Kluyveromyces lactis: one gene and its partners. The protein of the gene in region 7 purifies or fractionates together with the protein of the main gene of each other region. This does not show direct contact. Links are inferred from orthologs where the notes say so. Each region holds a gene or a part of one and is shown on either strand. Other genes may lie near its edges. The genes, in order: RPN14, RPT1, RPN10, PRE1, RPN2, RPN13 and RPN6.

Region 1 (3,361 bases), on a different chromosome or scaffold from region 7:
CTGGAACATCGTTAGCATCCTCATTCATACATTCTTCAACGACACAATCTCTTTCTAAACTTAATTCGTAAGGATGCTTCAAATTAGAGAACTGAGGTTTAGCAGGTTGCACTCTAGCCTTTGATACAAAATAAGCTTTACCCTCCTGTAAAATCTCGTTAAATTTGATCGCATTATCGTTGAACGCAGTGGCTCTAATTTCACCAGAAGAATCCAACAAATTCACATTCAAGATATGGCCCTCACCTCTATTATTTTGCCACTTCTTCAAATCACCTTTGAAAGAAACTCTGGCCTTTATGGTCCAGTTGTTCTGATATGGAGAAATTTGTTCAATGGCAAAAATAGGCCTTGAATTTTGGGATGACCCATTATTCGATTTTGCCTTGGGCACAGAACGTGGTTGTGGGGCTGGAATGTTGCTGGTACTGGTAGGAGCCATCTTAGAAGTCATAGACGATGTAGCAGACGCAGCTGCCGATGCAGCCTCGGATGCTACGGCCCCGTTATCAGTCAAAGTCACCAACTCATTCATATGTTCACCCAAATAAGCATCGACAAATTCTGTAGCATTATTAAACAAATCTAACCCACGGCTAACAATCTCTATCTCATCTACTAACAACACAAACTTCTTCTTCTCTTTGATCACTGCGCATTCCGCGTTCAACACTTTGAAAACATCCCCTCTTTCTAATTCTGCCTGTTGAGCCGCCTCTGCAGCTTTGTTCCTCAAAAGAGCCTTGACATGGTATTTTCCATCGTTGATGAGAATCAAATTCTTTTTAGCATTAGTCTCAGTCTTCTTGGTTTGAACAACCTGGTAAATACCGCCGGTAGGATTGTTGTACCTCTCCGGAATACGGAAAATATCCAATAAATCACCTTCCAATAGTTGAACACCCATCTTCTTCTACCTATTTTAAAGACAAATAGCAGAACAAATCCGTTACTTGACTCGACTTGGCCTGGGTTTCACCTGTAGCTAATCTATAACTGACCCTGAGATGGCGTTGTTTATTTACAGTTCGCCTTTATATACTCTGCGGAAATTCGAAAATTTTTCGTTGAACCAAAATAAAAGGGATAAAATCGAGGAAATTGCTTTCGCGTTTACGCGTCTTACACGTGAGTATCACATGACTATCTTTCAGGTGGTTATTCACGTGACTTTGGGTTTTTTGAGCATCAGGTACGTATTACCTTCATTGATGATGAACAACTTAAACACCAGCAGTGGATTTCTGATTTATGGATTTTGAGCAATAATGTCAGCAGGTTTCCTGTGGATATCAACTGTCCAAACAATTTGCCCGTTTTACTGTATACCTTCCTGTTATTTTCCCTTAGTTAAATATAATGAGAGTTGAGGAATGGAACATTTGCAGTGAGTTTGATGATATTCTTGATGATGTGAGAGGAGAAAAGGTTGCCAGCGATAAGATATGGGTATCCAGGAGCAGTGGTGAGCCATTATACGATTTGGAATTTGATGTACGGTTAGATTCCAGGGGTAATGTTGGGTTTCATAATGCGAATACTTCTGATAAAATTTCCTTTCAAAGGGTAAGGCCACATTTATATGAATTGACAGGACCTGATGCGACAGCAGGACATTTAGCTTCGTTTCAAAGTCCGAAAAAACGGTTCCAACTGCCTTCTGATATTGGAGCTGTTGATTTAACAAGTATAGATATCACGAACGTGTTTGACCCCGAGATACGTTTGGTTTGTGGTGATACGAATGGTGGCATATATGTGCTACGGAAGAACACCGGTACCAATTATAGCGGTCCATTACAAGAAGTGATAAAGTTACCGGAAGCGCACGCTAGTCACATCACCAAGACCCAATTTTTCCCTAACGGCCATGGATTCTTAAGCAGTAGTATCGATATGCGCTTGAAGATTTGGGATGCTTCAACCGGTACTGAGCTCAGAACTTTCATAGGTCATACTCGGTCAGTCAACGATTTTGCCATGGTCGATAGAGGTAGAAACTTCGTCTCTGCAAGTTCGGATGGATCATTAAAACTATGGGAATGCTCAACTTCAGCATGTGTCTTTACGCTCAATTCAAACGATGGCATAAATTGTATTTCATTGGCCAATTACCAGGGAAATCCAGCGACCACATCGTACAATGCATTGGACCATAGCAACGAATACAATACTGAGGGGAAAGCTGTATTTGCTGGACACGACTCTGGTATCATCACGTTTCATGATATCTATAACAGAAAGAAGATATTGGATATTTTACCGGCAAGTAAATCTGCATGTGTCACTCTAACGAGCCAGCACATTGCAGGTGATGACCATTACCTATTTGCTGGCTATTCGGATGGTACGATAGTATCATGGGATACTCGTAACGTTTCCAAACCGGTGGAGACGCTCCAGGTAAATGATAATGATTCTATCTCAAGATTATTCTTGGCACATAACACGTTGAACGTTTCTAGTGGGGTCCAATTTGCTTTCAATGTACCTGTTTTGGACGGGAAATTCAATTTCAATAAGCTTACACATCTAATTCGTCCTTATGATGAAGTGACTGATTTCTGTGTTGATGAATCACATCAAAATGTTTGGTGCGTCGGAAAAAATGGTATGCTATTGAAATACTGATTTGTCGTCCAGTCTAAAAGAGAAGCAATAGAATTGTAAATAGAATTATACCCATATATAGTCCAATAAATTATCCATACGTTGCTCTCATCAATGTGTATAGTAATATCTGCTTTGATATTGTATCCTTCTCTTTTAAACCTTTCTTACTGTGCATCTGAAGGCACCAAAAATCATCTTGAAATCTTAACATCAAAATGAAGAAGTTAACCTTCTACCTCTAAATATGATGATCATGAAACACCCAAGTAAGCCACCAAATCACCTTTGAAGGACGATATAGCACTATAATTTCCTACACGATGAGTAGAAGGATATCTGGTGCTAATGACCCTTTGCTAGACATGTTTTTCGATGATGATTTTGTACCTCAAGCATTCGTCGACATATTGTTATCATCTTTCCAGACAAGCCAATTAGAAGAATTGAAGACCAATTGCTCTAGTCTACTTTCAAAAATGGACTATTACAGTGGGCATATTACAAAAGAACTTGAGTCCACTATTCAGGTGCTTCAGAAGCCTGCTGAACTTATTATATACGCAGCAAATGAGGAACAGCAAGGAACAACAAAACTAGAGTATTATTTGGATACTCTAGCGAATAGTGTGAACTTATTAGAGACAGACGTTAAAGCTATTGATAAACAATTAGAAGAGCTGAATTCTAAATATGAAGACAGTAATGAGGTAACTGAAACCTTATCAAAGCTTACAGCAGCTAAAGAGCA
Region 2 (3,666 bases), about 1.1 Mb from region 7:
CCACCACGAAGGCGGTACTTCTCCTTCTAAAGTCGTTCGTAGGTACCGGGGTTCTTTTTCTACCTAGAGCTTTCCATAACGGTGGGTGGTTGTTCAGTACGCTGTGTCTTTTGTTCTGCGCCACGGTGTCTTTCTACTGCTTCATCCTGTTGATAGACACGAAGACTGCTGTTGGAGTGGATGGATACGGTGAATTGGGTTCACGTTTATTCGGACCCAAATTGAAGTTCACTGTCCTTTCATCGATTGTACTCTCGCAAATCGGATTTGCTGCTGCTTATACTGTGTTCACTGCAACAAACTTGCAGGCATTCTTCAAACATGTCTTTTCTCTCGAATACTCGTTAATCTTCTGGATTATGATCCAACTAGCATTCTATTTGCCGCTATCATTGACTAGAAACATTGCAAGACTCAGTGCCACCGCTTTGGTAGCAGATCTTTTCATTCTCTTGGGTCTAGTATACGTCTATTATTATTCCAGTTTCTATATTTGGAACCATGGCATCGCTTCGGATTCCATGGTGTCTTTCAACAAATCGGACTGGACGTTATTTATTGGAACTGCGATATTCACATATGAGGGTATCGGTCTCTTGATCCCAATCCATGAATCTATGGAAAAACCTGCACATTTCAAACCGGCATTGATGTACGTCATCCTCGTTGTAACAATAATATTTATCTCCTGTGGGCTCATCTGTTACTCTGCATTCGGAGCCAAAGTAGAAACTGTCATCTTGTTGAATTTCCCCTCGAACAGTATCTTCACAAACGCAGTACAACTAATTTACGCTCTGGCAATTCTCCTATCGACACCATTGCAATTATTCCCTGCTATAAAGATCCTCGAAAACAAGATTTTCCATAAGAATGCGTCCGGGAAATTTGACGCTAAGGTGAAATGGCGTAAAAATTATTTCAGAGCGTTCGTGGTCCTCATCGCAGTGATTATCGCATGGATCGGTGCTAACGATTTGGATAAATTCGTGTCTCTAATAGGATCTTTCGCTTGCATACCGTTGATTTACATTTATCCTCCTTTATTCCACTACAAAGTGTTCGAAAATAATAAAAAATTACAAGCAATAGACCTGGCGATCTTAATATTTGGAGCCCTAGTGATGTCATACACATCCTGGCAAACGATAGCATTATGGATTCATTAGGAACCTTATACACACAAAAAGACCTCTCATGTATAACGTATATAACGTTCATTAGTTGGAACTCTTTACCGAATATCAATAAAACCGGGTAACATTATCTCTTAACAGTGGAAATCTAACTTATGGAAATCGAACTAAAGATTTAAAGAGACTGATAATATGGAAAATCAGTTTGGAAAGGGTGGCGAATGGAGAGAAGTGAGGTCAATTCGTTATATATCGAGTTAGTAAGGAGCGCAATACATCAGTAAAACATTATGCCACCAAAGGAAGACTGGGAGAAGTACAAGGCTCCTATTGAAGACGAGGAATCGAAGGAGGAAAAGAAGGTTGTGCCACTTTCCGAAGGGGACATTGAAGTGTTGAAGACTTACGGAGCAGCACCATACGCTAAGAAGCTTAAATCTATCGAGAATGACTTGAAGGAAATTGAGAAGAAGATTAAGGAGAAAGCTGGTGTGAAAGAGAGTGATACAGGGTTAGCACCATCACATTTATGGGATATTGTTGGTGATAGACAAAGGTTAAGTGAGGAACAACCACTACAGGTGGCTAGATGCACCAAGATTATCAAGGCAGAAAAGCCCCAGAGAAGTGGGAACGCACTAGGAGGAGATGCTGATGGAAATGGAGTTGCAGCAGCAGCAGCAGCAGCAGCCGCAGCAGCGGCCGCTGCTTCTGGCACAGAGGATGAAGACGATGACGATGCTAAGTATGTGATCAACTTGAAGCAAATAGCGAAGTTCGTTGTCGGACTAGGAGAGCGTGTTTCTCCAACGGATATTGAAGAAGGTATGCGTGTTGGTGTGGACAGATCCAAGTACCAAATCGAATTACCATTGCCTCCAAGAATTGATCCAAGTGTTACTATGATGACAGTGGAAGAAAAACCAGACGTTACATATTCAGATGTTGGTGGTTGTAAGGAACAGATAGAAAAACTGAGAGAAGTGGTGGAACTACCTCTTTTATCACCAGAAAGATTTGCTACCCTTGGTATCGATCCTCCAAAGGGTATTTTATTATATGGCCCACCGGGTACAGGTAAGACTCTTTGCGCTCGTGCTGTTGCTAACAGAACAGATGCAACGTTCATTAGAGTCATTGGTTCAGAGTTGGTTCAGAAATATGTGGGTGAAGGTGCTCGTATGGTGCGAGAATTGTTTGAAATGGCTCGTACTAAGAAAGCATGTATCATCTTCTTCGATGAAGTGGATGCTATTGGTGGAGCCCGTTTCGATGATGGTGCCGGTGGTGACAACGAAGTGCAAAGAACGATGTTGGAATTAATCACCCAATTAGACGGGTTCGATCCTCGTGGTAATATCAAAGTCATGTTTGCAACTAACAGACCAAATACATTAGATCCGGCTTTGCTAAGGCCCGGTAGAATAGATCGTAAGGTAGAATTTTCATTACCTGATCTAGAGGGTAGAGCCAACATTTTCCGTATCCATACAAAATCTATGAGCGTTGAGCGTGGTATCAGATGGGAGTTAATTTCAAGATTATGTCCAAACTCTACTGGTGCAGAATTAAGATCCGTTTGTACTGAAGCCGGTATGTTTGCTATTAGAGCTAGAAGAAAAGTCACTACGGAAAAAGATTTCTTAAAAGCTGTCGAAAAGGTTATCAATGGTTACAAGAAATTCTCTTCCACTTCACGTTACATGCAATATAACTGATTGTACATGTATATAAATATATATATATATATATATATATAAGTACAGAATGCTTATAACCCTCATCATACTCAAGGAAACAAGTCAGCGTTAGAGACTTAATACTAAGAACAAGGAGCATCTTCTTTTGATTGAAGAAATATATAATGTACATATATACATACTTAAGAAATACACTTTTTATTCCCACCATGATACTAATCCAGTACCATCTGTTTGGCAACTTCCTAGTAGAGCATAAGCCGGTGGTTTTTCGAGGATCCGTTTCTCCTCTTCCGTCAACTCTTGCTTTGCCCTAAGCTGATCCTCAAGCTCTTTCTCCTTAGGCGATTTAGGTTTCACGTCTACAAACACTTCCTGTTCTACTCTGAATCTGATCTTTTCGTTGACATCGAAGTATAGTTTGGTCTCATCGTCCATCGGCCATATCCATGCATTCTCCTTCGGCGAGAAATATGAGCCCTCAAATAACATGTTTTGTGGTACAAATATATCTTCAAACAATCCGAGCAGTGAAACCTTGATACCTTCTGTTGTACACTGTGATATCCATCCTGTTACGATCTCTCCAACAAAAGGTTTGAACACTAAAGCGCGGAAAGTAACATTGATAAACGCTGCGCCATCACCAGGTTTTAGTTGCCCCTCATCAACGTCTAGTACATCGTAAACAGTTACGCACAATCCAATATGTGGGATGATCTTGTTGGCATATTTAGTGTTCAATTCATGTACAATGGTCGAAATTGTATCTCTTTTGAATTGATCTGGAGGTATCCTAACCAGATCTGCTACCTTTGTCAGTATAAACA
Region 3 (2,910 bases), on a different chromosome or scaffold from region 7:
TTTAGCTGTTCTCGCTTCTGCGTCACTATCATTATCCGCAATATTCTTACTATCCTGACAACCATCTTGTGATTGCGCCTGCAGGGCTTTAGATTGAGTATTTTTCAAACCATTGGTCGATAACTGCATCCGAGGGCCGTTGAACGCAGATCCTTGCATTTGAGAGCTGACGCCGATACTCAAAGTATTATTTCTAATTGTAACATTCGTACCAGAAGTTGCATCAGATGAACCGGTACCTTGAAAGTTATACCTTGCAGAAGATTTGGTGCTGATGGCATCGCTTTGCACTGATGACAGGGCATCCCTGTCCCTTGGAACAGGCCTTGATCCTGACCTTAGGTTAGAAAATATAAGTTCCCCGGGAGGCATGTCTTAAGGAAGACGACTAGGGATCCTTGACAATTGATCAATTTCACTGCTTCTACAATGCAAACTGGAGAAAAAAAGTACAATGAGGTTGAGTGGATGAGTTTTCTTCATCCATATGTGTTTTGTCTTGTCTGCATCTTGATATTTTTCAAATTATTGGTTTTTTCGTAGATTATTGTTGAAAGGGTACAAAATATATATCACGTGAATAGGACAATGTTCATACATGGACATGTTCGAAGCTTAATAGTTAATACCATGAGAACTTGCAGTAAACCATGAACTGAAGTTGGCTTTCTCGATATTGGGAGAGGGTACAATATTAAGAAGTTGAGTTGTTAAAGGGCCATGTTATGACGATTTACTGGGTCATTAGTATACAGAATAGATACCTATATGAGACGGAGGTTGTTAAGAATGCGGAAGTTTAAAGGAATGACTTACTCTGTCGAGTTTTGTCTTATGCGTTCCTGTCTTTCCTGTTCTTCTTGCATAGATAAGCGCAATGCCATTGCCAATTCAGGATCTAGGGATGGATCAACACCAAAGTCCATAAAATCGTCATTACCTCCCATTGAGAAGCCAGCCTCAGCAGCAGGACCTTCAAGTACAATAGGCGATGCTGCTACATGCTCGTAGAGTAGTTTGGGGCCTGCATCAATGTTCAAAAGAGTAGATTTACTATCCTCTTGCCCACTGTTGACCGTTTCTACGAATTCCTCCAATAGGTCAGCGTTCGTATCAGTTTCACCGAAATTGATAACATCAACCGCAATGCTATTTTTCTTCAACTTCTTTGCCATCTTAATCAAATCCTGTCTATCCTCAGTGATTGGACTACAAACGAATATAATAATCCTTTGACGCTGTACTCTATTTTGTCTATGTTTCAAAGTCAATGCAGCAATCTGTATGGCAGTGGCAAAATGGATGGACCCTCCAATATTGATATCATGTAGTCCGCTCAAGATCTTACCGAATTCGTTTGTGAATGTGGATAAAACTTTTGGGTTTGCCTCGGCAGCAGATACCAACCCTATAGTGTTCTCTGGATTACTGTTTCTTTTCGCCTGGAAAATATACTCAACGGCATCAACTTGTGCCACAAATCGAGTTCTTGGAAAGTCACCGTTCCTGGCATATTCCGAGTTATCAACAACCAATACAGTAGCTTCTAAAACCATCTCTCTTTCCTTAATATATCTGTTCTAAAATGATTCCAAATAAGAGAATAATTCAATCAAAGACTACAAAAAATTATCTCGCTTTAAAATAGAATAGCGGTACGCAATCTTAATTGATATAGAATGGGTTCAGCAACTTAATTATCCATTAGTTAACCTTCTTTTCCCTGGTGGCAACTGTAGCTAGGAACTACTTCTTTTCTCTATATTAAATATTAACCTAACTTTACTTTGAACCAAATTACCCACTAGATTAATAAATCCGGGTAATAAAAATCCAATCTCTCTTTTTCTTCCCCTTCACGCAGATCAATCTGCAGGGCCTTCTGTCGTTCTCCGTATTATGGCAGAAACTTCGCAAACTCTCTGTCAAAACCAAAAGTTAAGGTTTCGGATCTTTATATAAGTAAACAAACAGGTGAAATAATGAAGATCAAGCACTTGAGATTTTATCCGCCGAAGTGACTAATAGAGAAACAGTGATGAGTACCGGCGAAGATGGTTCCAAAAACGGGCAGCATATTACTGAAAAGCAACGAGAGAAGATTCGAAGTGCGTTAATAACTCGCCAGGAAGAGAAACTGCAAGAGGCCCTGAATGAGATAGAGAGAGTGAAAGGTAACACCAAAGAGATGCTGGAATCTGTGATTTCTACGTGGAAAGAGAAGGCTAAATTGAGGGATGGAACTATCCAGGAAACCCTGGACCGTGAAAGGGCTGGTGATGTTTAGAAGTGCATTTAAAATCGTTTAACCAAATCGAAGAACGGATGCCGGGGACTTCAGAACGAACTCCCACGTGACCATGCCTAAGATCGAAAGACTGTTTCCCCCCAATTCTGTGGTGATATTAAAGTGGGCGAGAAATCCAATTAGTGCTCCGGGTGATTAATAGTCACGTGTAATGATTTCCCACGTGATGTTTTTTTGTTGGTCAAGAAGTCTTACCATACACAAACACCACGGTTTTCTTTTTTTTTTTTTTTTTGTTGTGAAAGAGTAATCCACTGTTATCTTACCAGTCAGCAGGTAAACATCTGATATTCCGGAAAAAAAAAAAGAACTTCCCTTAGCGTCCTCGCTAGCATTCAGTCTTACTCATTCTCGCATACACAGTTTGGACCAATGGTTCTAACTTTGCGTCCGTGTGATTACGCCTGCACGCCACAACTGTGTGCGTTCCGGTAACTAAAAAAAATAGTTTGATTAGTATAGTCTTGATGTGCTTGATGAGCAGAGTAGCGAAACGGGGAATATAAAGAAGTTGAAATATACGTTCTAAATAGCCTCCTGATACCCACTGTCTTGGAAGGAAGGCACTCTAAGTAGTACAAAAACCCAAGGTTCCTAGTTCT
Region 4 (2,817 bases), on a different chromosome or scaffold from region 7:
GCAGATATTTCAATGGCTGAACCATTCACCTAAACCAGGCCGTGATATCATCAATAGAGAATTCGCGATGGCGTTCAGATCTGGTGCATACAAAAGATATAATTCGTTCAACAGCGTACAGGAGTTCAAAGTACAGATCCAGAAGGCTAATCCAGATAGATTTGAGATCGGTGCAGTGTACAATAAACCGCCAAGGGAGCGCGACTCTTTACTTAAGACTGAGATGAAACCGATGGAGAAAGAATTAGTTTTCGATATCGATATGGATGATTATGATAGTTATAGAACATGTTGTTCTGGGGCACAAGTGTGTCCCAAGTGTTGGCACTTTATTAAATTAGCTATGAAAGTAATCAATTCATCTTTGGAAAATGATTTCGGTTTTGATGAGTTCATTTGGGTTTTCTCTGGTAGACGTGGTGCCCATTGTTGGATTAGTGACAAGAGAGCCAGGGTCATGACGGATTCTCATAGGAAGAACATGTTGGATTATATGAACGTGGTTAGGGATAGAAATATTGAGAAGAGATTGAATTTGGTTAGACCGCTGCATCCACATCTATCAAGATCTCTGGAGATTTTGAAACCTCATTTCGTTGAAATCATTCTAAGGGAACAAGACACTTGGAGAGATGATGAACTAGCGATAAAATCTTTGGCTACCAGTTGTCACGACAAACAGCTATCTGAGCAGCTAAAGAAACTATGGACCAACAAACCTGGAAGATCAAGTGAGGAAAAATGGAAGGACATGGATGTGATAGCGTCTCAGCTAATAAGTAGCTTTCCTAAACAGAGACAACACGATTATTTGCAGAGACTACGCGAGAGTAAAGAAGATATCATCATCCAAACGCTATACCCTAAATTAGATGTGGAAGTCACAAAACAAACCATCCATTTACTCAAGGCTCCATTCTGTATACATCCATCCACTGGTAACGTTTGTGTACCGATTACAGAAGAGTTCTCACCAGAAATGGCACCAAAACTTATAAAATTACAGAACGAAATGGATACTAACGATAATCAAGTGCAACGCACTTCACTACAACCGTACCTAGACATGTTCGGAAAGTATGTCAACAAGTTGGTCAAACAAGAATTATCCTCACAAAAGAGAGACCGTGAAGAAGATATCAAGTCGTCTATTGACTTCTGAATGCCTAATTCAGCTGTCTTGCATGATCAAGCACATATATACATATGTATATTTACAAATAAGAACAATACCTATTTATCGATACTACCTGAAACAAAACAGTAAAATAAAAAACATTCAACAAGTGTATTCTTAGTTACTATCACCCCACAATTGGCGCCTAGCTTGGGCTTCATTCCTGCGAATAAAACGCTTTGTCTGTTTCTCTCTCTGTGTATTGTCACCTTTCATACAGTGGAAAACCTTTAAATGATGTTTGAAAATGTTTAACTAAAATACAATTGACAAAAAGAACATACACTTACGGTGGCAAACCTTTATCAGGGAGGAAACAGGGAAATATAGGGTCTATCGACAGTGAAAAGAGTCAAAGTTTATACTAAATCTCCCAATGGATGTTCTATTAGGTATAAGAGTCAAGGATTCGGTGATATTGGCCTCTTCAAAGGCTGTAACTAGGGGTATTTCAATTTTGAAAGATTCAGATGACAAGACCAGACAATTACTCCCTCACACACTAATGTCGTTCTCTGGTGAAGCTGGTGATACAGTACAGTTTGCTGAATATATCCAGGCTAATATGCAATTGTATTTGATTAGAGAAAATTATGAATTGTCTCCTCATGCGGCATCGAGTTTTGTTAGAACAGAATTGGCTAAATCCCTAAGATCGAGGAAACCATTCCAAGTTAACGTATTAATCGGTGGTTATGATACCAAGAATGAGAAAGCAGAGTTGTACCAGATAGATTATCTAGGTACTAAGGTAGAATTACCATACGCTGCCCACGGTTACGCTGGTTTCTACACATTCTCTCTATTGGATCGTCATTACAGAGAGGATTTAACAGTAGATGAAGCCTTAGGTTTATTGAAGCAATGTGTACAAGAGCTAGAGCTAAGAATGCCAGTTGATTTCAAGGGGGTTATTGTAAAAATCGTGGATAAGGATGGTGTTAGGGTCGTTGACGACTTTTAGTGCAATCTTTCTAACCAGAATCAAGTACATACACATATTTACATCTTTTGTATAAACAAAACTCAAAGTAATATCTTATCTCAGAAATACCCAAGAGTCAAAAGCATTTTAAGTTTGGAGGTGTCGCTGGTAGATTAGCGTGTATCGATTTGTCTTCTCTCTCTTTTTGACGTTGATCAATATACAATTTTGAGATTTATTGACTTTATTGTAAACCATCTTATCTCATCTCATCTCAACAAAACATGAAAAAAAGGATAGGCAACATCACTGCAACAGCTTCGTCTGATCTGTCCTTTCTAGTACCTACCTAAGTTAAGGTTGCTGCTGCGAATAGCATGTCTGATGTCAAGAAGGAGATATGCAAAGTACTCGGTTTAGATGATGAGATAGTCGCTGATTTTATCATCAACATAAATAAGAACTGTACCACGAAGAATGAGTTTAAGAAAAAACTGTTGGAGATGGATCAGGATTTGAGTGCCGCTGTTGTGTCCGACATTTATGATGTGGTGAACAAGACTGCTGGAAGCACAGCAGCCACAAGGGTTAAGACTCTTCTTGCTGAGCAGCTTGATGTTCACGATGATGTTGTCACCAATTTCATTATGGACATTTGCAGTAAGAGCGAAACGTTGCTCAAATTCCGGGCAAAATTGAAAGAAATGGAGGCTGG
Region 5 (4,303 bases), on a different chromosome or scaffold from region 7:
CCGGAAATTTTGAAACACGCTAAGAATTTGGTTGTCATTGGTTGTTTCTGTATTGGTACTAACCAAGTTGACCTTGACTTCGCTGCCAAGCATGGTATTGCTGTTTTCAACTCTCCATTTTCCAACTCCAGATCTGTTGCCGAACTAGTTATTGCAGAAATCATTACCCTAGCTAGACAATTAGGTGACAGATCTATTGAATTACACACCGGTACTTGGAACAAGGTTTCTGCTGCCTGTTGGGAAGTAAGAGGTAAGACTTTGGGTATCATCGGTTACGGTCATATTGGTTCTCAATTATCTGTTTTGGCTGAAGCTCTTGGTATGAACGTTCTCTACTATGATATTGTCACTATTATGAGTTTGGGTACTGCTAAGCAGGTTTCTACTTTGAATGAATTGTTGAACAATTCTGACTTTGTGACTTGTCATGTTCCAGCTACTCCAGAAACTAAAAACTTATTGTCTGGTCCTCAATTTGCTGCTATGAAGGATGGCTCATACGTTATCAACGCATCTAGAGGGACTGTGGTTGATATTCCTGCTTTGATTCAAGCAATGAGAGCGGGCAAGATTGCCGGTGCCGCTTTGGATGTGTATCCAAATGAACCTGCTAAGAATGGTGCTGGTGCCTTCAGTGATAATTTGAACACATGGACAACTGATTTGGTCTCCTTACCAAATGTTATCTTGACTCCACACATTGGTGGGTCTACTGAAGAAGCCCAAAGTTCTATTGGTATCGAAGTGGCTACTGCACTAACGAAATACATCAACGAAGGTAACACCGTCGGTGCCGTTAACTTCCCAGAAGTTTCATTAAGAGCATTAGATCTGGATCAAGAAAACACTGTACGTGTACTATATATCCATCAAAATGTTCCTGGTGTTTTGAAAACTGTCAACAACATCTTGTCCAACCACAACATCGAAAAGCAGTTCTCTGATTCTAACGGGGACATCGCATATTTGATGGCTGATATTTCAAATGTTAACCAAAGTGATATCAAACAAATATACGATGAGTTGAACGAAACTGACTACAAGATTTCAATCAGATTACTATATTAAAATGCTATGTTAGAATACTAATTCAACTTAGTTGCTTTTCACTTCAATTATAATATCGGTATAGATAAAGGATAGAACGTATAATTATATATTGTATGCATGATAATAGTGCTTCTCGATTTTGTAAATGGTGCAATATTGATCAACTGGACAACTGCGACTATCTTGCAAAGCACATTTCCTGATGGAGGTGGAGAGCATATTCTTGAAGAGGCTCTATAAAATCATTCTATACGATTAGGGTAGTTTTTGTATGGTTTCTGATTTAATTTGACAAACGGTGGCAAACTTTAGAACAGAAGCTTCAAAAGTATATAAATAAAGTCATTTACTATTCGCACCACATCTGCACATTACCAGGTTACATCGAGACTTAAGGTATTTAAAGCCGTAAACTCAACCAGAATGTCAGTTACATCTGCATTGCCGCTTTTGGCGTTATTGAAGGAATCTGACAACACTGTTAAGACTCATGCATTACAATCAATTAAAGACGTGGTAGATCAACAGTGGTCCGAGATATCAAATGATATTACCGAAATAGAAGCATTGTATGATGATGTATCCTTTCCTGATCGTAGACTAGCAGCAATTGTGGCCTCAAAAGTGTATTATAACCTTGGAGAATATCAACTAGCGGTTAAGTATGCCCTAGCTGCAGGAGAGTATTTGAATATCGATGAACAGTCGCAATATGTCGAAACGATTGTGTCACAGAGTATCGAAATGTATATTGAATTTGCTTCTAGTAACTACGAATCGGAACCTGTTGAAATTGATCCACATTTGGTTTCTATCTTTGAGAGAATGTTGAAGAAGTGTGTTTCTTCAGGGGAGTATAAACTTGCATTGGGAATCGCATTAGAAAGTTACAGACTTGATGTTGTTGAGAAGCTTCTCACTTCCCAGGACACCAGTACTAATGCCCTCAAATTGTGCTCTTACACATTGGCTGTATGTACCACTGCATTAACCAATACTCGCTTTAAATTGAGCGTATTGAAGAAGTTGTATGAAATTGTCATGAACATGCCTGCCCCAGACTACTTTATTATCTCAAAAATTATCGTACAGTTAAATGATATCGAATTTGCCAAGGAGCTCTTCTTCAAGTTAAATTCAACTAAATCATATGATGTTTCCTACCAAATCGCTTTTGACCTAGTAAACTCAGCCTCTCAGGGATTATTGAAGGATCTTTCTAATTCCTTGGACGCCAATGTATACGATCCTAAGTTACTTGAAATCCTTTCCGGTATACCCACCTGCGATTTGCAAAACACTTTTCTATTTGAGAACAAAACCATAGACAAGGCTCTTCTGAATAAGATGAAATCATCTTTGGATGGTAAATTCTCCTTATTCCACACAGCTGTGAGTGTGTCCAATGCTTTTATGCACGCAGGGACTACGGATGATAGTTTTATCAGACAAAATTTACAATGGTTAGGCAAAGCCCAAAACTGGGCCAAATTTACCGCTACTGCTTCACTAGGTGTTATTCACCAAGGCAACCTCTCAGATGGAAGAAAGATAATGGAGCCTTATTTGCCAGGAAATGGTTCAAAATCGAGGTATATCAAAGGTGGTTCATTATATGGTCTAGGTTTAATTTTTGCCGGCTACGGTAAGGAATCAACTGACTACTTAAAAGAGCAAATTCAAGCTAATAGTTCTTCCGTTGGAGAAGAGGATGTAGATGTGTTGCTACATGGTGCTTGTTTAGGTATTGGGTTGTCAGGTATGGGCTCGGACGATGTGAATGTTTGTGAGATGTTGAAAGAAGTGTTATATGGAGACTCAGCTAAATCTGGTGATGCGGCTGCTTTGGCTATTGGTTTAATTTTACTAGGTTCAGGTAACCAAACTGTTATTCAGGACTTGTTAACTTACGCAGAAGAGACTCAACACGGTAATATCACAAGAAGTTTATCGATTGCCTTAGCTCTCATAAATTACGGCAAAGAGGAACTAGCTGACGACTTGATTGATAAGTTACTAGCCAGTGAGAACGCCCTGTTACGCTATGGTGGTGCCTACACAATCGCCTTAGCCCATGCAGGGACCGGAAATAATAAGGCTGTGAAAAAACTTCTTCACGTCGCAGTCTCGGACTCCGACGACGATGTTAGAAGGGCAGCAGTCACTGCCCTAGGTTTCGTGTTAATTCGTGAATATACTACCGTCCCAAGAATCGTAGAACTTTTGTCAAAATCACATAACGCTCATGTCCGTTGTGGTACTGCGTTCGCTTTGGGTGTATCCTGCGCTGGTAGAGGCTTACAGGCAGCTGTGGATGTATTAGAACCTCTTTTGAAGGATCCAGTTGATTATGTTCGTCAAGCTGCTATGATTGCCACTTCAATGATATTGATTCAGCAGACTGAAAAAACGAATTCAAAGGTGAAGGAAGTTAATGAACAGTTCATGTCAGTAATTGGAAACAAGCACCAGGAAGGACTAGCAAAGTTCGGTGCCTGTATTGCCCAAGGTATCATGAACGCTGGTGGTAGGAATGTAACCATCGAATTGGAGAACACCGAAATGGGAACTTTGAACAGTAGATCAATAATTGGTTTAATGATGTTCTCCCAATTTTGGTACTGGTTCCCATTGTCCCACTTTTTATCGCTTTCGTTCACTCCAACTACCTTAGTGGGTTTGCGTGCTAGCGATTTGGCAATTCCTAAATTTGCTTTCAAATGTCATACGAAGGAGGGAATTTTCACCTATCCTCGCATGTACGAAGAAGAGGTGGACAAAAATATAGAAAAGTTTGCAGCTGCCGTCTTGTCAACTACCGCCAAGGCCAAGGCAAGAGCTAAGAAAGGTAAAAAAGGAGAACATGAAAAGGTTAAAGAAAAGGATGCAGAAAAAGTAAATGAAGAAAAGCAAGAGGTGGAACTGGAGGAAAAAAAGAAGGAAGAGGCCAAGAATACTGAAGAAGCTAAGATCAAATACACGACAACGAGCTATGATGTTGAAAACCTCACCCGTGTGCTTCCGCAGCAACTCAAATTCATATCTTTTGCGAAAGATAGCCGTTTTGTACCTGTTCGCAAATTCAGAGGAAACTCAGGTGTCATTATCGTTGAGGATAAGACACCTGAAGAACCACTAGAATTAATCAAGACCGTAAGACAAACAAAAGATATATATGCCCCATTACCATCTTCATTTAAAGTCGAGGATTCTCTTGAATTTTAATCGAGAAATTAGGTCCTAGCAATAG
Region 6 (2,580 bases), on a different chromosome or scaffold from region 7:
GTTGTCATGGCATATAACGACGTACTTGTGGCCATTAATTGAGGAGATACAGAATCCGTCAAAAGCTTACCTGTAGCCTGGTCGCGAGTCAAGATTGACTCGAACCCGAACGGATCAATCCTGTTCCTTTTCTGCAATGAGCCGATTTTTTTCGTCACTGAATGTGATGCGATGAACTTTGAAAATATGCTCATCAAGGCAGTAGCCTTTTTCATGATCAATGATCTTTCGTTAGTGGCCATAAAATTTGCTTGAAGTTGAATTCTGACTGCATCTAACTTGTAGTATAAGTCGACCATCTGATCCACGATTTCAAACTCACCAAATGAGTAAAGATAATAAATATGTTTTGTTAATGTGAATAAATTTAACAAGATTTCACGATTTAGCGCATATCCGTTTGCAACGAAAAATGGATATGGAGGTGGAGTTTCTCTTGAAACTTTCGAAGCACGCATTAATTGATACAAACTCGGTAGTTTTTTGAGTCGACCATCCTGTTGCTCTAATTCAGTACCAGTGGGGAACCTCAAGAATGCATAGTTCTCGATCTGCTCGTCAAAATCCAAATGAACAAATCGTCTGGGGAAAATCACTCGTTGAATTTTCTGTTTCGGTAAATTGTCAGTAACAGATCCCATATTGCTCATGAAGTCGATTGGCATTAAATCATTGCTAACATAACCACGGCACCATTTTCCATCCTTGGTCTGTTCCATAACAAAAACTTCATCGCCAGGATACAGATCAACATAATCCGATGATTTCAATACTAGCTCTGGACACTTCTTTAATGGAAGAAACGCTCGGGCAACAGTCCCTGGAATCAATCTATCAGTGGGGATCCATTCGAACTGTCTCAGTTCCGTGTGGTTTGCAGGTGTGTCGCTACTACCATTGGCAGTAGCATCATTATTCGATTTCGTCATTCGTACAAAAAACCACCACTAAATCAATAGTTGTGACGAAAATAGTTGCAAGAGATATCCGAAAACTAGCCAATTGTATCTAGAATTCCGAGTGCATTCACTGATCGGTGTTAATGATGTTGTACAAGTCCAACCCAATGTGCATTCACTTAGTTCTGAATTAAATATCCGTTCATGATGTGATGATTTCTACCATCTTAGTCTTTCCAAGCGGTTTCATAAGAAATTTTTCATAGAAAAATACTACCATATCTTGGTCACATGATTAAGCCTACAACATTATTCTTTTAAGGAAAATATGAACAAATGGCGTCAGCAGTGGCAAACTGTTTAAATAGGACCTACACACACGAAGATATCAATCATAGAACATCTGAGAGATTGTCAGACCAGTGGTATAGGTTTAAAAGAGGAGAGAAGAATATTGATATGACAGAGGCGATCAGTTTTAGGGCAGGAAAATGTGATTATGATGAGGAGAGTAAAATTTGTACGCCGAAGCAGATGAAGGGGGAGATCCAGATCAAACCCAGTGAAGAAGCGCAAGGGTTTTTCGATTTCCAATGGAGCACTAAGGATCGAGTCTCAGGGTCAGCAGTGGAACCAATTGAGTTTATTTTGATTCCCGGAGAGACGAAATGGATCGATATAAAGTCAGCTAAGAACGGCAGAGTGTTATGTTTACTCTTCTCTACTGGTGAGAAATGGTTTTTCTGGTTACAAGAAAAGCACCAAGGCAATGAATCGTTGAACGAATGGAGTGAAAAGGATAAAGAGTTACTTGCTAAGCTTCAGAAACTGTTGGAATTTGAAGAGGAAGAGGAAGAGGAAGAGGAAGTCAAAGAACAAGAACAAGAACAAGAACCGGAAAAGATGGAAATTGACCCTCAAGACAATGAACAGCCGAAGGCCGACTCCAATCCGTAAGTATATACGCGTTGTACATTACTCATTTTGAAGCAATAGATCAAAAATAAGGAACTGTAAACAGTATTTGAGATTTGATAGGCATTTTCAACGTCCAACTCTCCTTCTTTTCAGATCTGTTATTTCCAAATCATTACGATTTTATCATTACCAAATTAAACTATATTTTACTAATACTATGTCCTAGTACCATCCGTATAAACCATCTTTCTGATTTCCTAACTAAAGATATGTTAGTGAAGTATATTGGATCTCTTTCTGAGGAGTCTACCGAATTCAAAGAATTATGTAACTGTTTGCCTGAGGATGTCGAAAAGGGAAAAGAAAACCTTTTGAAATGTGTAAGAGGTCCATTCTTTCAGCAAGCAGTTGACATTTTGGACTTAGCTACGAAGCAGAGCTATTCGGGACAACAACTCTCACAAATGTTTGGATATTCGTATACCGGAGAAGGACCACGAGCTCTACTGGAAGGACTTAGAAATAAGGGCCTCCAGGAAAAGCTAAAGAAGCAAGATTCACAATCAGAATAAGAAAATGGAAACAAAATTAATACTGACCGTTGGCAGCAGCTGGTAAATAAGTATCTACATAAGATTTTTAATGGACCACTTATATATGAGAATAAATATAGGTATATATGTGGGAGAAGATGGTTGTTAAGCCTGACTAGTCCCATCTGACAGCCCAGTGTAACTCATCTCCAGCTTTGAATGGAGCAACT
Region 7 (3,225 bases):
GGAGGATGGACGTCGGTAAAGAAGATACCCTTAATGTATTTAGCTGCGAATTTACCGAAATGAACTTCATCGAAAACAACGGAATTTGGATCCGAAAGGTTCCAAAGTCTCACAACGGATGCGATAACAGCCAATGCAATAACAACCAAACGTTCTTTACTAGAAGTCATCGTACGGATAGATTTCAAATTCTTTGGTGGCTCAGTGACCAAGAAAGGTCTCAATGGACCTTTCTCAACTTGAATGTCACCAACGCTATCAACATCGAGAACACAATCTTGTACTTTAGTAGAGGTCTTAGTCTTACCCATTTTCTACAACAAAATCAAACAGAGAGTGAGACTGAGATACCTTTACAATGAGAAATACAATCAATGATCAGATCAGATCAGATACAGATACAGACAACAGATGTTTTCTCACTTCGAAAAAGCCTTGGAAATGGTAACTAAATGTTTGAGAAGAGAGAACAAAAAAAAACCAATTCAAAAATTCAATTCCAGTTCAAAGGTCCCAATTGAAATTGTCTAGCTCCTATCTAAGTTTCCCACAGATACTGGTCGACTGATACCTCTATCTGCAAAAGAAAACCTAAGTTTATTCCACCCAAAACTTGCCAAAATGAACACGTCTCTGTTTAATTTCATCCATACTATTATTTCAAATATATTTATATAATATTTACCCATACCGAGCTTTCAGTGAAATTAAGTTTTTTTTCTTTCAGATATCTACAAATAGGTGATTTTAGGTGTTTGAGGTGAAAATTATGAGTTACAGGTGTGTAATTGCTGCAGAACATGTGAGAGACAATGAACCTGAGGATGTGGATTACCAGTACCGATCAGCATATGCGGCAGATGAGAGTGAGGAGTTTAAAGATTGGCTGAAGTGAATGCAGTGAAGGGTCTTTCACGTGCTATTCTCGAGGAATGGTAAACACATCACGGAGGACGAAACGCGACTATTTTTCCTTTTTTTCGTGCGGATGTATCTGTGCTAAGATTAGGACAGTAAAGGAAATCTAATTTCGATTCACGTGACGTATAAGTCACGTGAATAGTCTACCCTTATTCAAGTTACGTACCAAATGATCGCCTTGAATTGAACCAGTTTCTGTAGTAGAATGATATATATAATCTTGTCCAAGAGATTATAGTTAAAGTAAATTAAATAAGGTGGCAAACCGAAAACATCGAGGTAGACACAATTGGCGCTACACCTGCCAGAGATCGTCTAGCAGAAGCTGAAGTTAAACTACGAAAGGAACAGGAAAGAAAGCAAATAATCCCACTTAGATATGTCGTTGGAAGAAGCTAGAAATCTTGTAGGGAAGGAAGATTATGAGAAGGCTGAAGCGCAGTTCTTAGCAGTATTGAACCATCAAGATGCCGCACAACCCCAATCAATTAGCAATAAAGATGCTCAAGAAAAGGAACAATGTATTCTTGAGCTAGGTCAATTGTATGGTACCACACATCAGTTGAAGAAACTCGCCGAGTTTGTACCACGCTCTCGTGAATACATGATGAAAGTAGCGAAATCAAAGATTGCCAAAGTTTTAAAGACGTTACTTAACGATTTCGAATTGATACCCGATTCCTTGGATACCCAAATCGAGATATGCGAAGATTCGATCGACTTTGCCACAAAGGAGAAGAGAATCTTTTTAAAGCATTCTCTATCGATTAGGTTGGCAACTCTTTACTACCAAAAGACGCATTACAACGAATCCTTGCAATTGATCAATGATTTGTTGAGGCAGTTTAAGAAATTGGACGATAAATCGTCTTTGCTCGAAGTTCATCTATTGGAATGTAAAGTGTACCATAAATTAAGAAATTTGACTAAATCAAAGGCTGCTTTGACAAGTGCTAGAACATCCGCAAATTCGATTTATTGTCCAACATTGACAATGGCAGAATTGGATTTAATGAGTGGTATCTTACACTGTGAAGACAAAGATTATAAGACTGCTTTCTCATACTTTTATGAATCCTTTGAAGCCTTCCACAGCCAAACTGGCTCAAACACATTCGGAAAAGCTTGTCAAGTGCTAAAGTATATGCTTCTTTCAAAGATCATGCTTAATTTGATTGATGAAGTGAAAACTATCTTGAACGCCAAATATACTAAGGAGACCTACCAAAGTCGCGGAATTGACGCCATGAAGGCAGTCGCTGAGGCTTATAATAATAGATCCCTACTGGAGTTCAATACAGCAATGCAAAATTATAAGACAGAATTGATGGGCGATGAACTCATTAGATCACATTTCAATGCATTATACGACACCCTTTTGGAATCAAATCTTAGTAAGATCATCGAACCATTCGAATGTGTTGAAGTATCGCATATCTCAAAGATTATCGGGCTTGATGCTCAACAAGTAGAGGGCAAACTTTCACAAATGATTTTAGACAAAGTTTTCTTTGGTGTGCTTGACCAAGGAAACGGATGGCTTTATATTTATGAGACACCACAACAGGATGCCACTTATGATTCTTCGTTAGAATTGATCAATCAACTCAATGGAGTTGTAGAACAACTCTTTGAAAAAGCCGCTGTATTATACTAAAATTAAAAATTCATTATAATACGCTCATCCTTCAATCATTAAAGTAACTTAGTAAATAAATATATTTTACGTAGGTTTAAGATCATTCGAAATTCAAATAAAGTATTCCTCCGGTACCTTGAAAGGTACGCCCAATATTTTAGCAAACTCTTTGTCACTGTCACTAAAATCATTTGGTCTTCCTGCAGCATCCCCGCAGTAAAATAAAAGTTCAATTGAGTCCGATTGTTCGTCAGAATCTTTAAGAAATTCATCAAACAAACCACGATTGGGTTTTCTCACATTATCAAACATTTCAGGTGTTACCATTGTCCCGTTTATTCTTTTCTTCTGGCCAGAAATAATGTTCTTAACAACTTTATTTGCGTGAGCAGTGCTGGCGGCTTTGCTGCCACCAAAAAGGGAAGCTGGTTTTTTAGTAGCACAGTAAATCCAAATACGATCACACAGTTGAGAATCGTTTTCCGATATGTATTTCAATACTTTGCAAATTTTATCAACGTGTTTTACGCAGCTTTTAGAGGTTCTAGGTTCACTAACAACACCGCCTTGGTTGGAGAAGAAGACGATGTGAAAATCTGGTGTTTCCTTCATTTGTGCCGAAAGTTTAGCAAGTACCTCGGTTTTTCCATATTTCATGAATATCC

The links.
Region 1: the proteins of RPN6 (region 7) and RPN14 purify together in Saccharomyces cerevisiae (affinity purification with mass spectrometry; 3 studies listed by BioGRID, with this or other methods). This does not show direct contact. The link is inferred for Kluyveromyces lactis from reciprocal best matches to the Saccharomyces cerevisiae genes RPN6 and RPN14.
Region 2: the proteins of RPN6 (region 7) and RPT1 purify together in Saccharomyces cerevisiae (affinity purification with mass spectrometry; 8 studies listed by BioGRID, with this or other methods). This does not show direct contact. The link is inferred for Kluyveromyces lactis from reciprocal best matches to the Saccharomyces cerevisiae genes RPN6 and RPT1.
Region 3: the proteins of RPN6 (region 7) and RPN10 purify together in Saccharomyces cerevisiae (affinity purification with mass spectrometry; 8 studies listed by BioGRID, with this or other methods). This does not show direct contact. The link is inferred for Kluyveromyces lactis from reciprocal best matches to the Saccharomyces cerevisiae genes RPN6 and RPN10.
Region 4: the proteins of RPN6 (region 7) and PRE1 purify together in Saccharomyces cerevisiae (affinity purification with mass spectrometry; 4 studies listed by BioGRID). This does not show direct contact. The link is inferred for Kluyveromyces lactis from reciprocal best matches to the Saccharomyces cerevisiae genes RPN6 and PRE1.
Region 5: the proteins of RPN6 (region 7) and RPN2 purify together in Saccharomyces cerevisiae (affinity purification with mass spectrometry; 5 studies listed by BioGRID, with this or other methods). This does not show direct contact. The link is inferred for Kluyveromyces lactis from reciprocal best matches to the Saccharomyces cerevisiae genes RPN6 and RPN2.
Region 6: the proteins of RPN6 (region 7) and RPN13 purify together in Saccharomyces cerevisiae (affinity purification with mass spectrometry, with the first as the bait; 4 studies listed by BioGRID). This does not show direct contact. The link is inferred for Kluyveromyces lactis from reciprocal best matches to the Saccharomyces cerevisiae genes RPN6 and RPN13.

What each region holds. Positions count from the first base shown.
Region 1 is NC_006037.1:775,601-778,961, forward strand, and holds RPN14 (Rpn14p), read left to right. Parts: upstream 1-1,359; coding exon 1,360-2,631; downstream 2,632-3,361. Other genes in the region: replication factor A subunit protein RFA1, read right to left, coding at 1-907; Golgi transport complex subunit COG7, read left to right, coding at 2,934-3,361. UniProt on the Saccharomyces cerevisiae protein: Acts as a regulatory subunit of the 26 proteasome which is involved in the ATP-dependent degradation of ubiquitinated proteins.
Region 2 is NC_006041.1:1,214,441-1,218,106, reverse strand, and holds RPT1 (proteasome regulatory particle base subunit RPT1), read left to right. Parts: upstream 1-1,426; coding exon 1,427-2,854; downstream 2,855-3,666. Other genes in the region: AVT3 (Avt3p), read left to right, coding at 1-1,169; DNA-directed RNA polymerase III subunit RPC25, read right to left, coding at 3,035-3,666. UniProt on the Saccharomyces cerevisiae protein: The 26S proteasome is involved in the ATP-dependent degradation of ubiquitinated proteins. The regulatory (or ATPase) complex confers ATP dependency and substrate specificity to the 26S complex.
Region 3 is NC_006038.1:356,500-359,409, forward strand, and holds RPN10 (proteasome regulatory particle base subunit RPN10), read right to left. Parts: upstream 1,557-2,910; coding exon 813-1,556; downstream 1-812. Other genes in the region: GTPase-activating protein IML1, read right to left, coding at 1-372; KLLA0_B03927g (uncharacterized protein), read left to right, coding at 2,039-2,287. UniProt on the Saccharomyces cerevisiae protein: Multiubiquitin binding protein.
Region 4 is NC_006038.1:1,023,589-1,026,405, reverse strand, and holds PRE1 (proteasome core particle subunit beta 4), read left to right. Parts: upstream 1-1,553; coding exon 1,554-2,141; downstream 2,142-2,817. Other genes in the region: DNA primase subunit PRI1, read left to right, coding at 1-1,162; DEAH-box ATP-dependent RNA helicase PRP22, read left to right, coding at 2,480-2,817. UniProt on the Saccharomyces cerevisiae protein: Non-catalytic component of the proteasome which degrades poly-ubiquitinated proteins in the cytoplasm and in the nucleus. It is essential for the regulated turnover of proteins and for the removal of misfolded proteins.
Region 5 is NC_006039.1:807,352-811,654, reverse strand, and holds RPN2 (proteasome regulatory particle base subunit RPN2), read left to right. Parts: upstream 1-1,476; coding exon 1,477-4,278; downstream 4,279-4,303. Other genes in the region: KLLA0_C09306g (uncharacterized protein), read left to right, coding at 1-1,071. UniProt on the Saccharomyces cerevisiae protein: Acts as a regulatory subunit of the 26S proteasome which is involved in the ATP-dependent degradation of ubiquitinated proteins.
Region 6 is NC_006040.1:245,091-247,670, forward strand, and holds RPN13 (proteasome regulatory particle lid subunit RPN13), read left to right. Parts: upstream 1-1,235; coding exon 1,236-1,856; downstream 1,857-2,580. Other genes in the region: guanine nucleotide exchange factor DCK1, read right to left, coding at 1-929; KLLA0_D02904g (uncharacterized protein), read left to right, coding at 2,087-2,389; URA4 (dihydroorotase), read right to left, coding at 2,526-2,580. UniProt on the Saccharomyces cerevisiae protein: Component of the 19S cap proteasome complex which acts as a regulatory subunit of the 26S proteasome, involved in the ATP-dependent degradation of ubiquitinated proteins.
Region 7 is NC_006041.1:136,897-140,121, forward strand, and holds RPN6 (proteasome regulatory particle lid subunit RPN6), read left to right. Parts: upstream 1-1,300; coding exon 1,301-2,578; downstream 2,579-3,225. Other genes in the region: dolichyl-phosphate-mannose-protein mannosyltransferase PMT1, read right to left, coding at 1-311; TPP1 (polynucleotide 3'-phosphatase), read right to left, coding at 2,672-3,225. UniProt on the Saccharomyces cerevisiae protein: Component of the lid subcomplex of the 26S proteasome, a multiprotein complex involved in the ATP-dependent degradation of ubiquitinated proteins. In the complex, RPN6 is required for proteasome assembly.